Caenorhabditis elegans: one gene and its partner. The protein of the gene in region 1 interacts with the protein of each later gene in a pairwise test. Each region holds a gene or a part of one and is shown in the gene's direction. Other genes may lie near its edges. The genes, in order: hcp-3 and bath-9.

Evidence for each region.
Region 2: the proteins of hcp-3 (region 1) and bath-9 interact in a two-hybrid assay, tested with the Caenorhabditis elegans proteins (one large-scale study listed by BioGRID).

Annotation. Positions count from the first base shown.
Region 1 is NC_003281.10:9,610,844-9,620,901, reverse strand, and holds hcp-3 (Histone H3-like centromeric protein hcp-3), read left to right. Parts: upstream 1-4,431; 5' UTR 4,432-4,448; coding exon 4,449-4,540; intron 4,541-4,591; coding exon 4,592-4,838; intron 4,839-4,886; coding exon 4,887-5,189; intron 5,190-5,241; coding exon 5,242-5,466; 3' UTR 5,467-5,596; downstream 5,597-10,058. Other genes in the region: F58A4.6 (DUF4807 domain-containing protein), read right to left, coding at 5,618-5,738, 5,787-5,932, 5,976-6,146, 6,196-6,323, 6,372-6,411; pri-1 (DNA primase small subunit), read left to right, coding at 6,623-6,722, 6,769-7,027, 7,156-7,366, 7,415-7,720, 7,773-7,857, 8,237-8,354, 8,402-8,555; BBSome complex member bbs-4, read left to right, coding at 8,711-8,779, 8,834-9,135, 9,900-10,058. UniProt on the Caenorhabditis elegans protein: Histone H3-like variant which exclusively replaces conventional H3 in the nucleosome core of centromeric chromatin at the inner plate of the kinetochore.
Region 2 is NC_003280.10:3,371,964-3,382,468, forward strand, and holds bath-9 (BTB domain-containing protein), read left to right. Parts: upstream 1-5,125; 5' UTR 5,126-5,153; coding exon 5,154-5,257; intron 5,258-5,302; coding exon 5,303-5,681; intron 5,682-6,166; coding exon 6,167-6,314; intron 6,315-6,357; coding exon 6,358-6,509; intron 6,510-6,563; coding exon 6,564-6,686; 3' UTR 6,687-6,871; downstream 6,872-10,505. Other genes in the region: bath-10 (BTB and MATH domain containing), read left to right, coding at 3,190-3,293, 3,349-3,739, 3,785-3,941, 4,332-4,483, 4,536-4,685; Y49F6C.2 (BTB domain-containing protein), read left to right, coding at 6,998-7,038, 7,097-7,379, 7,427-7,549; T06D4.1 (Type VI secretion system protein TssA), read left to right, coding at 9,873-9,965, 10,011-10,271.

The DNA of each region.
Region 1 (10,058 bases):
AGGTTAATAGAGTCTAATCGTGAAAATATTGGAGATTTCAGAGGAAGATTTCTCAATTTTTGGAGGCAATTTCCTGCCTAAATTTTTGTGTATAACATACATATAAAGTTCGTCCATAGTTTTGGCAAAACTTCGGAAAAACTTGGTCAAGATTTAGTTGAAACCGCGTTAAAGGTTGGGAACAATTTTTCATAGTCATACTCACTATAGTTCTTATAAGATCACAAAACATCACCAAAATCGGCAAAGAGATCAGTTCAAAGGCGTAGTAAAAGAGAAAGACACTGAACAAAACGACATCGAGAACTATTCGGACGGTAATGATCTGTTATCATTCAAAATAAAGGTTAAGGGATTTTGTTGCGATCTTCCCCATCAACCGATCCAAGAAACATTTTCTGAAGGGATCCTGAGAATTAGAGACAGATGGATGGATGGGGAAAACACCTGATGGCGCGGCCCCCAGTTTTGTTGGTTGGGGTCACAAACAGCTGTGAGTGGAGTGAGAGAGGGAGAGAGTGATTTAAGAAGATTTGGACGCAACGGAGAAACAGACGGAGAAAAGTTTGCAGTTCGCGTCTCGTTTCGTTTCGAGACCTTGTCTAGCGAAGGGGCAAACGTAAACGCTCGTTTCCGATGATACGGTAGGCGCGAGCCAGACAGTGAGTGAGATAAGAGATAAAATAATTTATCGGGGGGAAGACAAAGAAAGCTAAAAGATAAAAAGAAACATAACAACATATGGAATCATAACAAACTTGAGGCAGAAAATCAGAAATCTAGGAAGAACGATATGATGGTCGAGTACAGTAAGATCATAGAGGTAGACCCCCTCTAAAATTGTGGGGACTTACTGTTTTCTACTCCCGCAATTTTTGGAGGTCAAATGGAAAGAGGGTTCACCTGAATACTCGTAATAATGGGTACTATATTAATATTATTAACTTTTTCATAGATTTTTCCAAACAAGAGGAAACTTGTTGATCAAAAAAATGGAACTCTTACCATATGGAATTCAATATGAAACATGTTGCAAATAAATGTCGTCACAGACGCAAGGGTGTGTGTGATTTGACAGAATAGGTCAGGTGTTCAATCGCGACTAGATTTAGATATTGGGGTACACAACCGAAAAAACGAGACGATCGAAATACGTTCGTCGGCGGGACGAGAGATGGGGGAGCCGGGCGCGAAGAGAGACTGCGAGACAAATAGACATATACACAGGCTGACTGACTGGCTGACTGGGCTGGGGGGGGACGACGCTCCGAATCATTTGGGAGAAAAAAGTTTTTCGCGGCGGCGACGACGACGAAGACAGCGGTGGTGGTGGTGGACTGATCGGTTTGCTGCAGCAACACAGGCAACATGGGGTTGAGATGAGAAAGGGAGAAATTGGAAAAAAAAGAGATGGAAAAGAGAAGAAGGAGCTGACGAGAAACACACCACACTCACACACACACACTCACATAAATGTTAAAGGCCAGCAGCAGCGCCTCAATGGTCTTAGGGGTTGAGGGAGCGGGCGCCTCCTTCTCTCTCTCTATTGCTTACTCTCTCATGTTCACTATCTCTCTATATCTCACAATTTCTCTATACTTTTCCTATTTCTTCGTTTCTCTGTAGCTCTCGTCGCAAAAAAGGAGGCGAAGCGCCGAACATATCTCTGCGTCTCTGACGCACTCGTTCGACGATCATCAGGCTTTCGGAGAGGAGGAAACGAGAGAAACGATGGGCACGTGGATGGGCACCGACGGGGTCGGGATGCCATCGACATGTGTTTTTGGTCGGATGATCTTCGAGGTTGAGTTGGCGCCAGGATGTGGAAGAGGATTGGTGAAGGATGTTCGAATCAAACAGATGGGAATATTGGTCACTAGATCATAGATAATTTGCAAGATGTCCATCAGGAACTACACAGTATTGGCTTTGTGGAAGCACGATGCATACACCGCGACTCGAAAATTTTTGCAATTTGCGCCTTATGAATGGCCGTTTTTGTGATGCACCATGAATTAATTGCCTGGTGTGCTTGAGTTGTTCAAACACTTATAACTCAATAACTATGTATAATAGCTAGCAATATACATTAAACTACCTAAATGTTCCAAATTATCTGGTCTACATATATATTAATGTCAAATTTATAAAACTCTATTTTGAAAATAGTTGAAGCTGCTGACATCCGGCGGGCAAGTTCTTGAATCGAATTTCTAAATAGACCACAACTTTGAAACTGGGTGTTTTCATGGAACAAAGTTTAATATGAAAATGTTTTCCATAAAAATGCCTACATTTTGCAATTTATTGTTGTGTAAAAAATTGATCAGGAAAAAGTATACGAAGCATGAAACATGAATTATGAAAGTCTGAGGAGGACCTCAGCTGCTGTAACTTGATCCGAAATAGAGTTATATAATAATTTTGACATAAATAAAAATGTAGAAAAAGTAATTTGCAACATCTGGTCAGTTGAAAATATTTTGCTAACATATCTTTTGAGTTATTCGAACAGCTCAAGCAAATCACTGTAAAACCGTGAACGAATAGAATATTGACCGACTCCGTAGGTTTTGAAATTCAAGAATTCAAATTCATTCAGCTGCAGTTTTGGTTTTTTTTTCGATTTTTTTCCTTATGATTTCTGTGCCAATTATGTACACCTAAAAATGTTTCCTTTCACTGAGAACATCTCGACGCGCTCATAAAATTCAATTGTTTAGTGACAGACGTCACGAAAGCATTTTACGCATCATTGTGATAGTATTCTTACACAGTTTGTCACCCCATTCGTCGTCGCGAATATTTCTTCATGTGTTCAATCTTTTTTTGGGCAGAATGTAGAAAAGAGAGAGACAATACTGCAAAAGTGATATTGAAGAGGTTTCCGTGTGTGTGTGTGTGTTGGTGTTTTGAAAATTCTAAAGACACAGAATTGGAAAGGAAAATGAATCAACACGGAACACGTACACTTTTTTTTGGAAACAAGTTTAGTATTAACTTTGCAAAACATGTCATGTCTATCGTTCTATCGGGATAATGGTATTTGAAAAGAAATAAAAAATAAAGAAAGAAACCAATCAGCGTTTCCGGACTCCGCCCTTTTTGTCTGATTGGTGGAAAAGTGTGCGGAGCAATTTGCTAATTGGTATTGCAGTTCTTGTTTTGGAGGGAATTCAAATTCAAACAGAGCGATTAGCCGAATTTTTTGGCATTTTAGACTTTTTTGGTATTTTAAAATTATAAAAGTTGGCTTATATGTTTTCAACAAGCTTCGGAAAGCTCATCGAAATAAAATAGGTTTGCTAGTTACGAGCCTTTCCTGAATCACTTGGTGTCAGGATCAAGTGTTTCATTTTTCGATTTTTCGCTGTTTTGATGGGAAAAAACATGGAAAAAAGCGGTAATTGAGACGTAGTTTCCAACCATTGTCACTCGGTTAGCAGGCACACTTTTCCGGCCGAAAAATTTTTTGAATTTTTTTAATATCATATATAAAAAATCCTATTTAAAACTATAGATCAGTTATGAGACGTCTCATGAGACCACGTGATTCGAATTGAAAACTTGTGCTATGTCATTGCAGTAGACTCGGCTTATCGAACACTGGATTACCAGGTCCAAATATAAATTTATTATAATTTTTTTGCAGCGAAGTTTTAAGCGTTCTTCGATTATAAGAGAATATTAGCTCTAATTATTATTTCTAGACCTGCTTGAATAATCGCCTTCCGCGCAAGCGGAAGTTGCTGGCGCATCTCTCGTGTTACTTGCACATTTTAGTTTTTCAAAGCGCGCGGAAGCGCGAAAATTTGGTTTTTCTTTTCTAGAATTTTCTTTTGTCTGTTGATGGTGACTCTCAGATTATTGTCACCTAAAATTAGGAATTATTTTGATTTTTTTTCTTTTTTTTTCCTTTTTGTATCAGACTATTTTTACATTTTTGTGTGTTAAAGCTCCAGAGTGTCGTGAAAAACACCGAATCATTGTCTTCTCCGGCGAATATTTGTTTTTTCACTGCACTTTCCAAAGTTATCTCGATAAAAAATTATACAGCTAATCTCATATTATATATTATCGCTGTATGCGAGACACAGCCCAAGGCAGTCCAAGTTTCGTGAAGTTTTGATGGAATATTTATGAAGAATCGTTTTTTTTTCGAAAAAAACAACACAATTGTTCAATCAGCTGAACTAAATTTTTATAAGACCCAAATATTGATTAATTAGGCGACCCCCGGGGTTGAGTCCGTCATTTATGTTGTTTTGTGTGCACTTTAGCGTGATGTCGTCTGCGTATTTCCCTGCGTCTCTCGCCGCCAATCGTTACTTATTTAAACTGCGTTCGCATTTATTGCTTCTTTAATTCCTTTTTAACCTTCAAACAAATCGTCTTAATTTAGCTTCAGTTTTCTAAATTTTATATTTTATCAGGATAATCTTCGAACAATGGCCGATGACACCCCAATTATTGAGGAAATCGCCGAGCAAAATGAGAGCGTCACAAGGATCATGCAACGTCTCAAACATGACATGCAAAGGTAAGTGATGATTTTTGTTTTCGTGCTACAAATTAATGTCTGCTGTTTCAGAGTCACTTCAGTGCCGGGATTCAACACAAGCGCCGCAGGTGTCAACGATTTGATCGACATTCTGAACCAGTATAAGAAGGAGCTTGAGGATGATGCAGCCAACGACTACACTGAAGCGCACATCCACAAAATTCGATTGGTCACAGGCAAACGGAATCAATATGTCTTGAAGTTGAAGCAAGCCGAAGACGAATATCACGCGCGAAAAGAGCAAGCTCGGAGAAGAGCTTCGTCTATGGATTTCACGGTTAGTTTCAATTTTGTATGATTTCAAACAACATAAAATTTATTTCAGGTCGGCAGAAATTCCACGAATCTTGTCGATTACTCCCACGGCCGTCATCATATGCCCTCATACCGTCGACACGATAGCTCCGACGAAGAAAACTATTCTATGGATGGAACAAATGGCGATGGAAATAGAGCTGGCCCATCGAACCCCGATCGTGGTAATAGAACTGGCCCATCGAGCTCCGATCGCGTGCGGATGAGAGCCGGAAGGAACAGAGTCACCAAAACGAGACGTTATAGACCGGGCCAGAAGGCATTGGAAGAGATCCGCAAGTACCAAAAAACTGAAGACCTTCTGATTCAAAAGGTATACAATTTTTACTTTATTTAAACTATATTAAAACAATTCCAAATTTCAGGCTCCGTTCGCACGCCTCGTCCGCGAAATTATGCAGACTTCCACTCCATTTGGCGCCGACTGCCGTATTCGTTCTGACGCCATCAGTGCTCTTCAAGAAGCGGCGGAAGCATTTTTGGTCGAAATGTTCGAAGGATCGTCTCTTATATCCACCCATGCGAAACGTGTCACACTCATGACAACGGATATTCAGTTATACAGACGTCTCTGCCTTCGACATCTCTGATAACAATATTTGCAATACTCATTTTTCGATCTTCAAGCCATATTTATCTCATCAATTTTAGCGCTGTTTGATCTTTTGTGTACCGTGAACACGTTTACTATTTGTCAAATAATAAAGATTCATTACTTGTAAATGAGAACATTTTATTTAATCACTTGTTCGAACTAGCTTTTCCGAAAATATGAATAGCTCGAAGCTTCTGATAGACTCCTTCGCAGCATCTTTGTACAATATCCGTGTTCGGATTCTGTTTGGCCCAGTGATAAATTGCTCTGAAATTGACCACGTAAATAAGCCTTTTCTACTTTCAAGAATCCAACCTAACAATATTAACAGCATGCGAGAGATTTCCGAGTTGTGCTTCTGCGAGGGCGGTATACAGGTAGCATCGTGCAAGAATAACTGGATCTCCATATTTTTTCGCTAAGTTGATTTGATGAGCAGTAATTTTTGCAGCGACTTTCGCCTGAAAAGCTAGCGTTAAACTAAAGTGTAAACTGATAACTTACATAATTTGCATCGAAATCTCCCATAGCTGAATAAGCGCCACCTAGAGTAGACAAGTTCCACATGAGCTTTTCGAGATCAAGCATGTATCGGAAATGGTGTTTCAAACGTCTTTCCCAAGCATAATCGAGATTTTGTGCCGGATTTTTCACTTGGATGTTGACAAGAAGTTTCTGAAGCTTAAATATAATAACTTCTGGCAATAGAAGATAAATTAGTTACCTTATCGACGGGAATATTATAGAAGGCACGTATTTGAGCAAACGAATATTCTTCACGACACTGGAGAATATTCAAAAATCCGTACAAATCGTCCAAATTCGTGAATTCGAATACTAGTGATTGGGTACCTGCAATTATTTTATATTAATTAATTATTTGCTTATCTGACAGCTTACTGGTCGATGGAATTTCCGTAGAATGTTTTATTGAATTCATTTGTACACTGAAAATGAGTATAGAAATGGAGAGAAAATGGTCTTTTAGAGAAAAATAAAATAATGCAAACGCGCCCTGTTGTACACGCCGCGAAATTGGAATTTAAACCAGTTTACCGCACTACATATGTGCCTATTTCTTGAGGATTTCATCTTTTTTTAGCTTGAATTTCAATTGAACCAAATATTTATAGTTTTTTTTCTTTTCAGAAATGTCTTATAACTCCATCAGACTTCCACAAGATTTGCCAATATACTACAAAAACTTCTTCCCAGTCAAACCATTCACAAAATGGCTCCGCTACGGACAAAGTGAGTTTCGAATTTCGATTTTCTTAACGAAATTTGAAATTTGCAGATAACGGAGACTATTTCAACCGCCGAGAATTCGCATTCATTCTGGCAGATGACGTTCATATCAGATATCGTAGTTACAATGACGAACACGCATTTTTCAAAGCACTTTCAAGTACTAACCCGGAAAAACTTGATATTGGAGCTGTCTACAATCACGAGCCAATTAATAACAAGAGACATACAGATTATCAAGCTGTGGAACGAGAATTGGTTTTTGATATCGATTTGACCGACTACGATCCAGTTCGTAATTGTTGCAAGTAAGAGTTTACGAAAATCCCGTTTCCGCGTATCTCTATTTTTATATTGATATATTTAGCAAAGATAGTTATTTGAGGGCATTATTAAGATGATCTGTAACCCACTTTTCGATTTTCTAATTTTTCAGAGATGCCACCGTCTGCCCAAAATGCTGGAAATTCATGGTTCTCGCTGTTAAAATCTTGGATTTCCAACTGGAAGATATGTTCGATTTCAAAGCACGAATGTGGGTCTTCTCTGGTAGACGTGGAGTACATTGTTGGGTCGGTGACAAAAAAGCGAGGATGTTGAACAATTATCAAAGATCTGCAATCGCGACCAGACTCAATTTGTTCAAGGTTCGAGAACTTCTTTGTCCAAATTAGAATAAAAAATTCATTTTACAGAAAAATGGCCAATGTGAGGTGACTGAAGGTCGGGCCAAAATGACGAAAGTTCCGCCGATTGTGCGTGACGCGTTTAACGTTGCATTGAAAGATGGAGTTTTCGAGAAGATGATCTATGACCAGGGATGGCTGGATAAGGAAGATTTTATCACAGAGTACAAGTTTATGTCAGAAGTAGGCAGAGATGACTTGCGTAGCCTTTCCGAGACTTACAAAACTCCACAAGAACGCTGGAACATGATTCGTGGGCTTTTTGATGACGACTATCGCAAATCGCTTTCTCCGAAGGACGGTCTTCTCGATTTTGTAAGTGGAAGCTTTGAGATAACAGTCGGAAAATAGATAAATCAATTTTCAGAAAATGCAAGGTCGCGACCGAAATTATCTTCTCTACTTTGTTCTTCAACGATGCTATCCACGTCTTGATGTTAATGTATCTACAGGTGAAATGTTTTTTACATATTTAAAAATAGTTTCAAAATCAAAAAGAAACTGTATAATTTCAAAAAATTTCGACATGCATTCTTGAAAGTGCACAGATTTATTCAGATGGGCCTCGGCGCGAAAAAAAAATACAACCATTACTTTTTGCGCACCGAGACCCATCTGAATAAATCCGTGCTCCTTTAAGAAGGCATGTCAAAATCTTGGGAAATTACGATAAATACTGAAAACTTCCTTTATTTCGAAAATAGTTTTTTTCTTAGAATTTCTCACCCTACAGATTTCAAAAAATTGAAACTTTCTGAACAAAAAATAATTATTTTCCTAATTTTTCGATGAAACTGCGTTGATTTCGTACTAAACGGTCACATTTTACAGGAACAAATCACTTGCTCAAATCCCCATTCTGCATTCATCCAAAGACCGGAAACGTTGCAGTTCCTCTGAATGTCGGTAAAATTGAAGAGTTCGATGTAAGCAAATGTCCTCGAATTGAGTAAGTAAAAAGTCGTCTCTCTAATAGTATTATCCAAAAACTTTCAGTCATGTCGTGGAAGAGTTGAGCAGTCTTTTGGCTGAACGAGGAAACGACGAGAACGAGGATTCGAAGAATCGAAAATTCCTGGCGTACAAGCATGGAGCTCTCGCACCTTACGTTGAAAACTTTGAAAAGTTTGTATCGGCTTGCATTTCATAAATTACTTTCATTTTTCTTATACTGTAACATGATTTCTACTTTAACAATAAATTTTTTTCTCGAGACCTTTTATAGCATGTGGCGTCCGCGAGTTTCCATGGCAACGGCAAGGAGAAAGACGTAGGCAGTTATTGAGGGTGCATAGCTTATTAAAAATGGAAGCGAGTAATCAAGATGAAATTATTGGAACTGACGTTATTCCAAATGAACAGGACAATCCAGAAGTGAGTTAATGAAATAATTTGAAACATTTTTTCGTTTATAATTCTGTTCATCAGGAAGTAGTACCTGAACCAACATCCCTTGATGTTCCACCACCTCCACCAGAACGTGCTCCGTCTGCTCCAAAACGAGTGGAAATTCTCGATTGTAACTCATTAAATGGTCTAATGTATCATTATTTTGCCCAAGGCGACTATATTGAGTGCAAATCAATAATTGGAGAAATTCAAAGCAAATATCTTGAAAGAAATGAAGCTGCTTTTCATGTTCGTGGACTAATTGCAAGAAATGAAGGAGAACTTGAAGAAGCGATGGAATGCTTTCATAAAGCTTATGAGCTTTCTGGCAAAAATAAAAGGTGAATATGGCCGTATATGGTAAATTAGTGAAAAAAGGAAACTTTGCCTTAAAGGTGCGCTTCATTTAACGATTTTTGCGCCAAAAATACGGTACCCGGTCTCGACACGACAAGTTTTTGTTTATTGTTTCCAAAAAAGTGTGCGCCTTTAAAGAGTACTGTAGCTTCGAACTTTCGTTGCCGCGTTCGATATATCGATTATAATTCGCATCGATTTTTATAGTTTTCCGTTGAAAACAAATTTATTTGTTGGAAAACTAAAAACTATTAAAAATCGATGAAATTCTTTTCAGGGTTTCATGTCACCGATTTACTGTGATTTATTGTTAACAATAATGTTGAAAAACTATTGTAATTTCGTAAGAATTCGATTAAAGGCACACGCTGTTTTTTGAGTGGGTCTCGCCACAATTTCAGTCACAGTACTAGCTACAAGTTCTATATTCCACATAATTATTATTTTGATAATGAAAAATACGTTTATGAAATTTCCAGGATTTTTAGTAAAAAATTTAGTGCATAGTTTCAAGTTTTTGCGAACAAACTATACAAATTCTAATTTTCAGTCATTTTTTACAGTAAATTAATATAATTTAATTGAAAAAACTTCACAAATAATATATAAAATGTCAATTTCAATGTCAGATGCAACAAGAGAGTTGCCAAAACTTGCCAAAACTCGTTGGTGCCAACTTCTTTCTTGTACCAGTAAAGGAATACCTTTAAATATAGGAAAATTTCAAATAATTATCTATTTATTACAGATATTTTTATGAAACTGGAAGATGTAATTTCCTACTTGGTCGCCATCAAATTGCTGTTGAACAATTAACAAAAGCAAGTGAAGTAATGAAAGACAATCCAAAAGTTTGGTATTGGCTCGCTCGAGCAATTTATCATTTTCCTGCTGAAAAGGTGCAAGG
Region 2 (10,505 bases), on another chromosome or scaffold:
ACGAGAACGTCGACGGAATCCTGCATTTGGCTCACATGAACGAAATGGCTTTTGTGATTCGGAAATGCGAAGAGTGTTTGCTCGACAAATCGGACAGACCCAGTAGGTGTATATTCAAGATTGCGAAGCAGTATCAATTGGAATTTAAAGGTAAGGATCATAACAGATCTTGGGAAATTTAATTAATTTGTTTAGAAATCATGTCTATCGAGAATCAAAACAATCGATGAGATCAGAGCGGCGATGATATGCAATGCAGCTGAAATGGATCCAACTGTGCTGGCGGCTCTTCTCGAAAAGGCTGTGGATCTTCAGTGATCCTTCATGATATCAAACTATTCATTTTCTTGTTTGCTTTTGAATAAAATAATACGTTCCCCATAAGAACTTGTTCAAGCTGTAATGAGAAACACACCTGAGTTTCTCACGCTTATACTTACTTTACTTGTGTATTGCATGCCCTCATTTAAAAATGTTTTTTTTAAGTTGCGAATCATAACAGCTTGGAGTTTTTAGAGACATTTTTTATGAGACGGAAACGCTTAAAACCGTGCTGTTTTTAAATTTTTCCCCGTTTTTTCTAGATATTTGAATTTTTGAAGTTTCCAAAAAAAATGTGCAAAACCACAATTTTGCACATTTTTATTAACCGAAAATTGTCGGCAATTGCCGTTTCATTGGCGAATTCGGCAAATCGGCAATTTACCGGTTTGCCTATTTTTCAAAAGTTTCCAACTTCGGAAATTTGACAATTTGCCCATTTACCGAACAAATCGTTTGCCGCCCACCCCTGCCCTACATTACGTTAACGTTCCTTTTCCTTTTTCTTTTCATTATTAAAAAAAACCACAGAGAATAAACTTACAAATCAATGGTGCAGATGCTATCTCATAGGAAGAAGAACGGTCAACTAAAAAAATTGAATGCAAACAACGAAGATTGATTGAAGGTGGAGCAGACTTGTTTTGAAGTTTTCTTTTTAAGTGGTAAACTTGCCTGAAACGATAATTTGAAGAGTGTTCGAAAGCTGGAACACACATCCCGAAGAAATGATTATTAGCTATCTTGAACATCCCAGACATATCACGGACTTTCAATCAGTTTTTTAAATTGAAGCATGTATGTTCGCACTCCACTCAGAAATTAACCGTATATTTTCAAGCTTCTTTCCAAATCCCTGGCAGAAATAACAAAAATCAAAATTTGTGCATGATGATTTATTGAAGGAAAAAAGATGGTTGATGGCAATACCGCATTAAAAACCTCCACATAAAAAAACCAATCAATTAGATTGGTCTTTACAAAAAAGGGTGCACAAGTTGTATGAGAGAATAAATGAATGAATAAAGATGAAGTATAATAAGATATTATGGTTTTGGATATTAGGATATTTTGTGGCTAATGAGAATGTGTAGGGTTAACAAAAATCAATATTAGGTTATTAGGAGAGAACAATTTGAGAGTAATGCAAATGTTTAGGGATAATATTAGGATTAGGATTTGAGGATTAAGAATAAATATTAGGCTATTAGGACAATAAGAGTGTGAGGGTTATGAGAAAGGGTGAAGAAAATCAATATTAAGTTATTTGGTTATCATGAATATAAGGATTTTTTTGAAATAATTTTTAAATTTTAATTTTTTTTTTGAATTTTTTTTACTTTTTCAGATTTTTTTTGTGTTTTTGGGGTTATTAATGAGATTACTTATTGTTGGAAATAGTTGTTATAGTCAGCTGTTTTCCCGCGACGGCAACTTTTCCTATTCTTTTGAAGTTGCTCCAAATTGTATGTTGTGGCCAGTCTTCATTCGGGCGAAAAATTATTTTAAAAATCAGCTTGTGACATTTGACGCCTTTGAAAAGCTGCTTTGTCCTCAAAGCATGATAGGTTCCGGGTTGAAAAAAATGTTTTCAGTCGGCTCTTTTCACTATTTCATCCAAATGACTGAGAAACTTTTTTCGGCTGGGCTCGAAGTGGCTTCAGTATCTGTAATTTTAAAATTTCCATAAATTCTCAAAAACTCTCAAACTCACTTCATCATACTGGAAAAATTGCAAGAATTAGTGAAAATTTAGAAAATAAATCGAAAATCAATAAAAAAGAAGAGGGGGACACCCATTCAGTAGGGCGTCTAGTAGGAAGAATGAAGTGAAGAGAAAAAGGGAACGACTGAGAGATCGAGAGGCAGTGGAGGGTCGAGACATTGTGTAGGAAGACGGAAGTGAGTCGAGACACCACTTCAAAAGAGAAATCTGCATCTAGAATTGTATAAAATTGTCTAAAACTTTTTGTTGCAAAATGCTCGAAATGGACTTTTAAAAATTAATATTTATTTGAAACCTTTTTTGATAGTTCTGAAAAATACTTTAGCTGAAAGTCGGGTAAGGTTGTTTTAAAAATTTGGAATTAAAGGTGGTGTAGTCGAATTTTTTTACTGCCTTATTAGACTCAAAATTGTCTGAAAACACCGAATTTTATAATGAAAATTCTTGAAAACTTCTTTAAAAAAAGTTATAACGGCTCAAAAAATAGCCTAAAATTAGTTAAAATCGGAAATTTGACCAACTTATCAATGTCGCAGCGGCTGGAAACAATTTTTTTTGAAATCACCGTCAAATTTTAAGTATACAAGTTGATTACCGTGCGTTTTAAACTTGATTAAGGTATTTAAAAGTCGATGGACGGCGAGATTTTTAATTTTTTAAACCAAAACTCGCCGTCCATCGACTTTTAAATACCTAAATGAAGTTTAAAACGCGAGATAATCAACTTGTATACTTAAAATTTTACGGTGATTTCAAAAAAAATTGTTTCCAGCCGCTCCGACACTGACAAGTTGGTCAAATTTCCGATTTTAACTAATTTTATGTCATTTTTTGAGCCGTCATAACTTTTTTCTGAAAAGATTTCAAGAAGTTTCATTATGAAATTCGGTGTTTTCAGACAATTTTGAGTCTAATGAGGTAATAAAAAAATTCGACTACACCATCTTTAAGTGTTCAGGGATTTTCAGGAGGTGCTATAAAAATTGGACTGCCTGTGAAAGACTTTTAGGGACCACTCATATATTTGTCGTTAGGGGTCAAGACCACCCAGTCTCCCCCCGTCTCTCATTGCCCCTTCTCTCATTTTGTCTTCACGGTGGCCATTTGTCTACTCTCTTTATTGATTCTTACATTGTAAAAGAATGGCAAAGGAATTCCAACTCACCCATATTTTTAAGAAAGTATCCGAATTTAAAGATGGCGAATGTAGATGTGGACCCCTAGAAGAACACTTCAATGTTGAATGGTTAGTTTTCACCAATTATAAGATACATTTAATAAATTTCAAATGTCGTATTCAGGTTACTTTATATAAATCGGAAAGATGATGAATTGGCAGTATTTCTGGGTTGCAATAGTTTACAAGGAACTGAAGAAACAACACTGTCAATTTATGTGGAATTAAAGTTTACACTCAAGAATTCAATTGGCACACGAGTAACGAAAATCGCTAAATGTCTGTTATCAAATAAGAGTACTGAAAGTGATTTCGGACTTAATAAGTTTATTGGTTGGGAGACATTGTTGAAGGACTACCTGATTGATGACAGTATCATTATCGAAGCAAAAATCAAGATCACTAAGATGACTGGATTTCCGAGAAAAGAGCTCAGAAGCTTTGATGAATCAAGTGAGGAGTATTCCGATATGATTATTGCCGTTGGGGATAGAAAGTTCTATGTTCTCAAACAGGTAGCTCTAGTCTCTGAATATTCCAACTATTTGAGTACTTTTCAGCTCCTCGCTTCAAACTCTACACACTTTCAATCTCTTATTCCCCTGGACTTTGAAGAAATGGACTGTGAAGGAAAATCGGAGATCACCCTGCCAGATATCAACCCCTCCGATTTTCAGTGTCTCCTGGAGGTTCTGTACGGAGAGCCTGCTATGGATGGTAAGAAAACTATAGCAATTTAAACAATTTAATACAATTTAATCTGAAAAATATTTTAAACATTGGGGGGGGGGGGGGGGGGAAATTACGAAGCTATCAAGTTTATTTGTTTAAATAAATATTAGTATTTGAATTTAATTTTGCATTGACAACTAGCTTAGGCTCAGGCTTAGTCTGAGACCAAGGCTTAGGCTGGACGGGGACAATTCCATCTCAGTAAGATTCAAAACACTTCCAAAATATTTCCAAACATTTTCAAAATTGTGTCAACTATAACTACAATGCTCCTACAGTAATCCTAGCCCACTTCATTCTCAAAATCTATAAACTGATTTTTTTTCTGAAACTACAGTAACCATATAGTAGATAACACTATTGTTAATATTTCAGACGAGAACGTTGAAGGGATTCTTCATTCGGCTCACATGTACAAAATGACAAAAGTAATTCGGAACTGTGAAGAGTTTCTTTCCAACAAATCTGAAAAACCCATGAGGGATAAGTTCAAAATTGCAAAGCAATACCAACTGGAGAGTTTGAAGGTTAGAATTCATATATTTTTTAAAAACTATTTTAATACATTTTTTTTTTCAGAAATCATGTCTCTCAAAAATCCAAACAATCCAAGACATCAAGTCAGCAATGGCAGGGGATCTATCTGACATGGATGCAACTGTAGTGGCGGCTCTTCTCGAAAAATCGGTGACTATTGAACCGCCTTCGAAAAATGGACGACCGTATTAATTTGAAATTGTTTTTTTTGTGGTTATACTGTATTTTTCACTTATTCAATAAATTCCAAAATATTGGTGAAATTGTAAAAAACTCTACAGATAAAAGTGAGCTATAGAAATTGGACGGACTGTAGTAGAAAACTGTATTTCCAATCAAGACCCTAATGATGTAAGACGGCACCTTTCGGGACCATTCACTGCCTACATATTTGTCGTTGACAGGGGTCAAGACCACCCAGTCTCCCCCGTCTCTCACCACCCCTTTCTCTCATTTTGTCTTCACGGTGGTCAGCTGGATGGCTGTTCACTCTTTTGCTTCTATTGATTTTTTGAAAAAAGTAACTTTATTATTGGTGTATTAGGTTTTGAAAAATGGATAGCGGGTTGTAATAATCAGTTGTGAAAAATAATAAATTGCGAGAACTGCTACTTTTTTTATAATTAATATTTCAATTTCAGTAGCAAGACTTCGCCCAGAATGGTAAAGGAAATAGGACTCACTCATATATTCAAGAATGTATCAGAATTGGAAAAAGGCAAATATTTTCATAGTCCCGCAGAAGAACACTTCAATGTTCGATGGTAAGTCTTTTCTAAGTTAATATAAATATACAATTTTTTGTTCAGGAATATCAAAATTGCTCGGAAAAATGAAAACATCGGAGTTTATCTGTGTTGCCAGAGATTGAAAGACATCGGAGAAGGCGCATGGTCCGTGGATACCGAATATAGACTAACAGTCAAGAATTCAATTGGTAAACGTCTTAGGAACAAGGCTAGGACTAAATTTGTGCCAAATTCGAATGAATGGGGATGGGAGTTCAGTTGGGAGACATTGATCAAGGATTATCTCATTGATGATAGTATCATTGTTGAAGCAGAGGTCAAGATCAGAAAGATGACTGGGATTCCTAGGAAGCTGCTCAGTAGCTTTGAGCAGTCAGATGACGTCTTTTCTGATGTGGTTCTAGCGGTTTACGACAAGAAGTTCTTTGTTCTCAAAAAGGTATGTTTCAGGGATGGGCGGCAATTGCCTTCCGGCAAATCGGCAAATTGCCGGTTAGACAGTTTGCCGGGAATTTTCATTTCCGGCAAATTGTCGATTTTCCGTTTTCCAAAACTGAATTTGCCGGGAGTTTTTAGAGAGATTTTTTATAAGACGGAAACGCTTAAAACTGTGCTTTTATGAAATTTTCCCCCTTATTTTCTAGTTATTTTCATAGAACTTGCTTACTTTTCAAAATAGATGTAGGAATATTCATTGGATGCGTAGGACTTTTGCCGATTAAAATTGAAACTTCGAAATTTCCAAAAAGTGTTATATTAGAGATCAGCCCTAACTTGGCTTTTCGGCTACATCTGGCCGAATTAACCACTGTTCTAAAACGCCGAAATCTCTGAAATCCGGCACAACAAGTTATGCGTCATGACACACTTTTAGTGCCGAACTGTTCAAAATTAGCCAAAAAATTCATTTAATGTGTGTTTCAGTTCCTCGCCACTCACTCATCATACTTCAAAACTCTATTTCTCGGAAAATTCGATGAACCAGAAAAAGCTGAAATCGCGCTCACCGACATCAATGCTGCCGATTTTCAGTGTCTTCTAGAGGTTCTGTACGGAGAACCTGCTATTGAGGGTAAAGAAAAAGGTTTTTATTCTAGAAAAAAAGTTAATTTTAGACGAGAACGTTGAGGGAATTCTACACTTGGCTCACATGTACAAGATGGCCGTGGTGATTGAGAAATGTGTGGAGTTTCTATCCGATAAATCTGAGAAACTCGGGAGAGATAAGTTCAGAATTGCAAAGCAATATCAACTGGATAATTTGAAGGTTAGAATCAAGATTTTAAAATTCTTTTAAATTCCAATAAAACAATTTTTTCAGAAATCGTGCCTATCAAAAATCAATACAATCACTGAGATCAAATCAGCAATGGCAGGGGATCTATCTGACATGGATCCAACTGTAGTGGCGGCTCTTCTCGAAAAATCAGTGGCTCTTCATTAACTAGTAATTTTACGAAGCACATAAGTTATGTAAATTTGTATGCTTTACTTATTGTATCATAAAAAAGTTTGTTTCATTTTCAAGGCTTGCCATGCTACTTCTTCTTCTGAGATGACTTTGAACCAATTTTTGAGCGACTTTTTGAAACTTTTGAGCAAAAGTATAATAATTTCCAAAAAGTACAAATATTTCTCTATATTTCTACATAAATTTTCAAAACAAAACTTCGACTCAACAAGGAGAAATAGGGGATGTTTTAAATATGTCGAAAAAATGTGTCACACATATCTGCTGGCTACCATATTCCGAAGATGCCAAATGATTTCAAAACAAAAATTAAAAAACCATTATTGTAAGACGGTTTTTACATAATTAATCATTCTAAAACACATTGATATCTGTAGTTTCAGAAAAATTACATGCAATTTTCTAAAATTATTGATTTTTGCTTATAAGATCCTCCAAATTCAACATTTTCGCTTCAAATTTCGACTAAGCATTGTACATTTTGGTCCTCTATTTAGTTTTGAAAGAATTTTTGAAAAATGTTGGCTCATCTCCAAAATCGTCCTGACTGTAAGAGACATGCCTTTTGCGATTCGGAAATGTGAGGAATTTCTGGTTGAGAAATATGAAAGGCCCAAGCGAGATATACTCAATATTGCAAAGCAATATCAACTTGAGAACTTGAAGGTAAGGATCACAACGGATCGTGTAAATCTAAATTGAATATTTTTCAGAAACTATGTCTTGCAAAAATCAATACGATTGATGAAATCAAGGCGGCAATGGCAGGTAATCTATCTGACATGGAGCCAACAGTGCTGGCGGCTCTTCTCGAAAAATCGGTGGCTCTAAAATAACCATTCAAATTTAATTTCTGAATAAAATAATTGTTTTTTACCACTTTCAAGTACATATATTCCATATAATTGTTACAATCTTTCTCCAAATTTCCAAAAAAAAAATCACAGGTTAATCACTGAGTTTTGGCATTTTTGGTTTTTCTTGACTTTTCTTTAGTACTTGATGTGAAACATCGTTTGAAAATTTTAAGGCTAAATTTGAAGTTCCTGCAAATTTCCTTCGGGCTGTCAAGTTTTCTCTGCGGAAAAATGACTGTAAATTTGAAAAAATATATTTCAAAAATTCGAATATCAGGGAAAATTCAGGTTATCGAATTTCAATTTTTTGCCATGTGTTTGACTTGCCTATTGTATGCCTACATACCTAATGTATGCCTACGTGCCTACTGCATGCTGGCATGCCTACTACATGCCTACTGCATACCTACATGAACACCGCATGACTACTTGGCTACGTGCCTACTTAAGTTTCTACTGCATTTCTCCCTTTTTTTTTGGAAATCGGGAAATTCTATGTATTTCTGAAACGCATAATTTTGTGGCCAGAGGTTCTTCCTTCACTCTTGGGAAGACTTATTGACGCTGCGTCATCTGCAACTACGGATCGATAACATTCGACTACCAGCTGACTACCAGCTCAGCCATTTCTCAGCTCATTCTCTCTCCTCCAAGACTACTCGTTTGCCTTTTATTGATTTTTTAAGAAACTCCTTTACTGCTTTTTTATCCAATTTGTTTGAAATATTTCTAACTCTATAATTTCAGCAGGACAATGAATTCCGCTAAAAAGGAATTTGAGATTTCACACATTTTCACAGATGTATCAAAATTGGAAAACGGTAATTTTCTATTAAGCCCTGAAGAAGATCACTTCAATGTTCCATGGTAAATAGGTTTTATTTTACTAAAATGAATATAAAATGAACATTCAGGGACTTGCAACTTTATCGAGAAGATGATCATTTAGATGTGTACCTCCGTTGTACGAAATTGACGGAAAATGATGAAATTTGTGCAATTGATACGGAATTCGAATTAACTCTTAAAACTTCAAATGGGAAACAAATGAGTCGTAGGGTCAAAGTTGACTTTACACTTGAAAACATCATGATACCCGCATGGAGATGGTCTAAGGTTGTTAGTTGGGAGACATTGTTGAAGGAATACCTAATTGATGATAGTATCATTGTGGAAGCAGCCGTCATGATCAAAGCGATGACTGGGATCCCTAGGATGAAGCTTAGAAGCTTCGAGAAGTCGGCTCAGGAGTATTCTGATGCGATTATAGCAATTGGAGATGAAAAGTTCTACGTTCTCAAGAAGGTATTTGCATTTTTTGCTTTTGAATTTCAATTTTAAATGCTTTTCAGTTTCTCGCTGCTCACTCAACTTACTTCAAGGATCTCCTCTTCGGAGACTTCGACTTCGAACAAGCTGAAAATTCAGAAATCACACTCTCCGATATCAATTCTACCGATTTTCAGTGTCTCCTGGAGGTTCTATACGGAGAACCTGCTATTGATGGTAAAACTGAAAACATGTGAAAGTTCAAATTTTCTATTTTTTCTAGAAGAGAACATTGACGGAATCCTCAAATTGGCTCAGAAGTACAATATGCCCCTGCGATTCGGAGATGTGAAGAGTTCCTAATCAAAATTTCTGAAAGATCAATCAGGGAAAAGTTAAAGATTGCAAAGCAATACCAACTGGATAACTTGAAGGTAAGGATCATAGCTGAGCCTCCAATCCTAATCAGTCTGTTTAGAAATCATGTCTGTCGAAAATCAATATAATGGATGAGATCAAAGCGGCAATGGCATGCAATGTTGCTGAAATGGATCCAACTGTGCTGGCGCCTCTTCTCCAGAAATCGGTGGCTCTTAAATAATTTTTCTAAATTTCTTTTTGAATCAAAAGCACAGACACTGGGATTATGTTAATAAAATTTTCATTGTTAATGCTTGCATAATTATTTCCCGGATTTGCCCAGAAAATTTCGAACCGAACGGGGCAAATCTCACTCTGTTATGAGCCTTTGTTGAGTTGTTGAAGTTAAGGAACGCTGAGCGTTAACGCCGGAGCAAACACATAGGGTGACCAGGAAGAGTGTCGGCTGCTAGTACAATTTTTCTATGTATTATCTTTTTCTAGGCTAGTCTAGTTGAGTTTTGACCTACCAGGTTTTTTTGACCTACCCGGCGCCGAATTTTGTTTTCTTGTGTTTCCTTGGACTCTCACTGGATTTTTGTTCTTTCCCCTCATTTTTCGTCAAGCTTTCCTAGTTTTTTCTCGATTTCATCATCAAATTATTGATTTTTAGATGTCCGACGACCCGAATACCACTCAGGAACGGGCGATGGAAGGCCCATCGGAAAATCAAGCTGCTCGGCAACTAGAGGGCAACCAAGAAGAGGTAACATTTAACAATTTTTCTATTTCATAAATTCCCATTTTTCAGGCACAACGCCAACCAAAAGAAGAGCAAGCTGATCGAGAAGAAGCCAAGGGAGAAGAAGAAGCTCCACAGGTGGCCGCTGCTCTACCCATACCGGACAGCCCATTTCTTACCGAATTGGCCAGGCTTCTACGAGGATCCCTGCGACCATATCTCAACACAGAACCTGATGAAGTCATTGAAGCTGCGAGGCAGGATCACCAACTCGATCAAGAAGTTGCCAATGAGAACTTGTTACAGTATATCTGTAGGACGCTGGTGGAGGTATGTGTTGGGAGAAGATCCATCTAGCCCAATTTTTTTATAGTCGCCGCTGTTGCCCGAAAGTTGCCCAAGAGTTGCCCGATAGTTGCTCGATAGTTGCCCGTTGAAGCCCGCCAATTGCCCGCTGCTGGCCTTTTTTTGCTAGTTGACATCCGCTCCTTGCCTGGTTGAAAATACCTTTTGCAGGGGGTTTCCTGAGTTTCAGCGCTTCAATTTACGTTCCTAACCAATCGT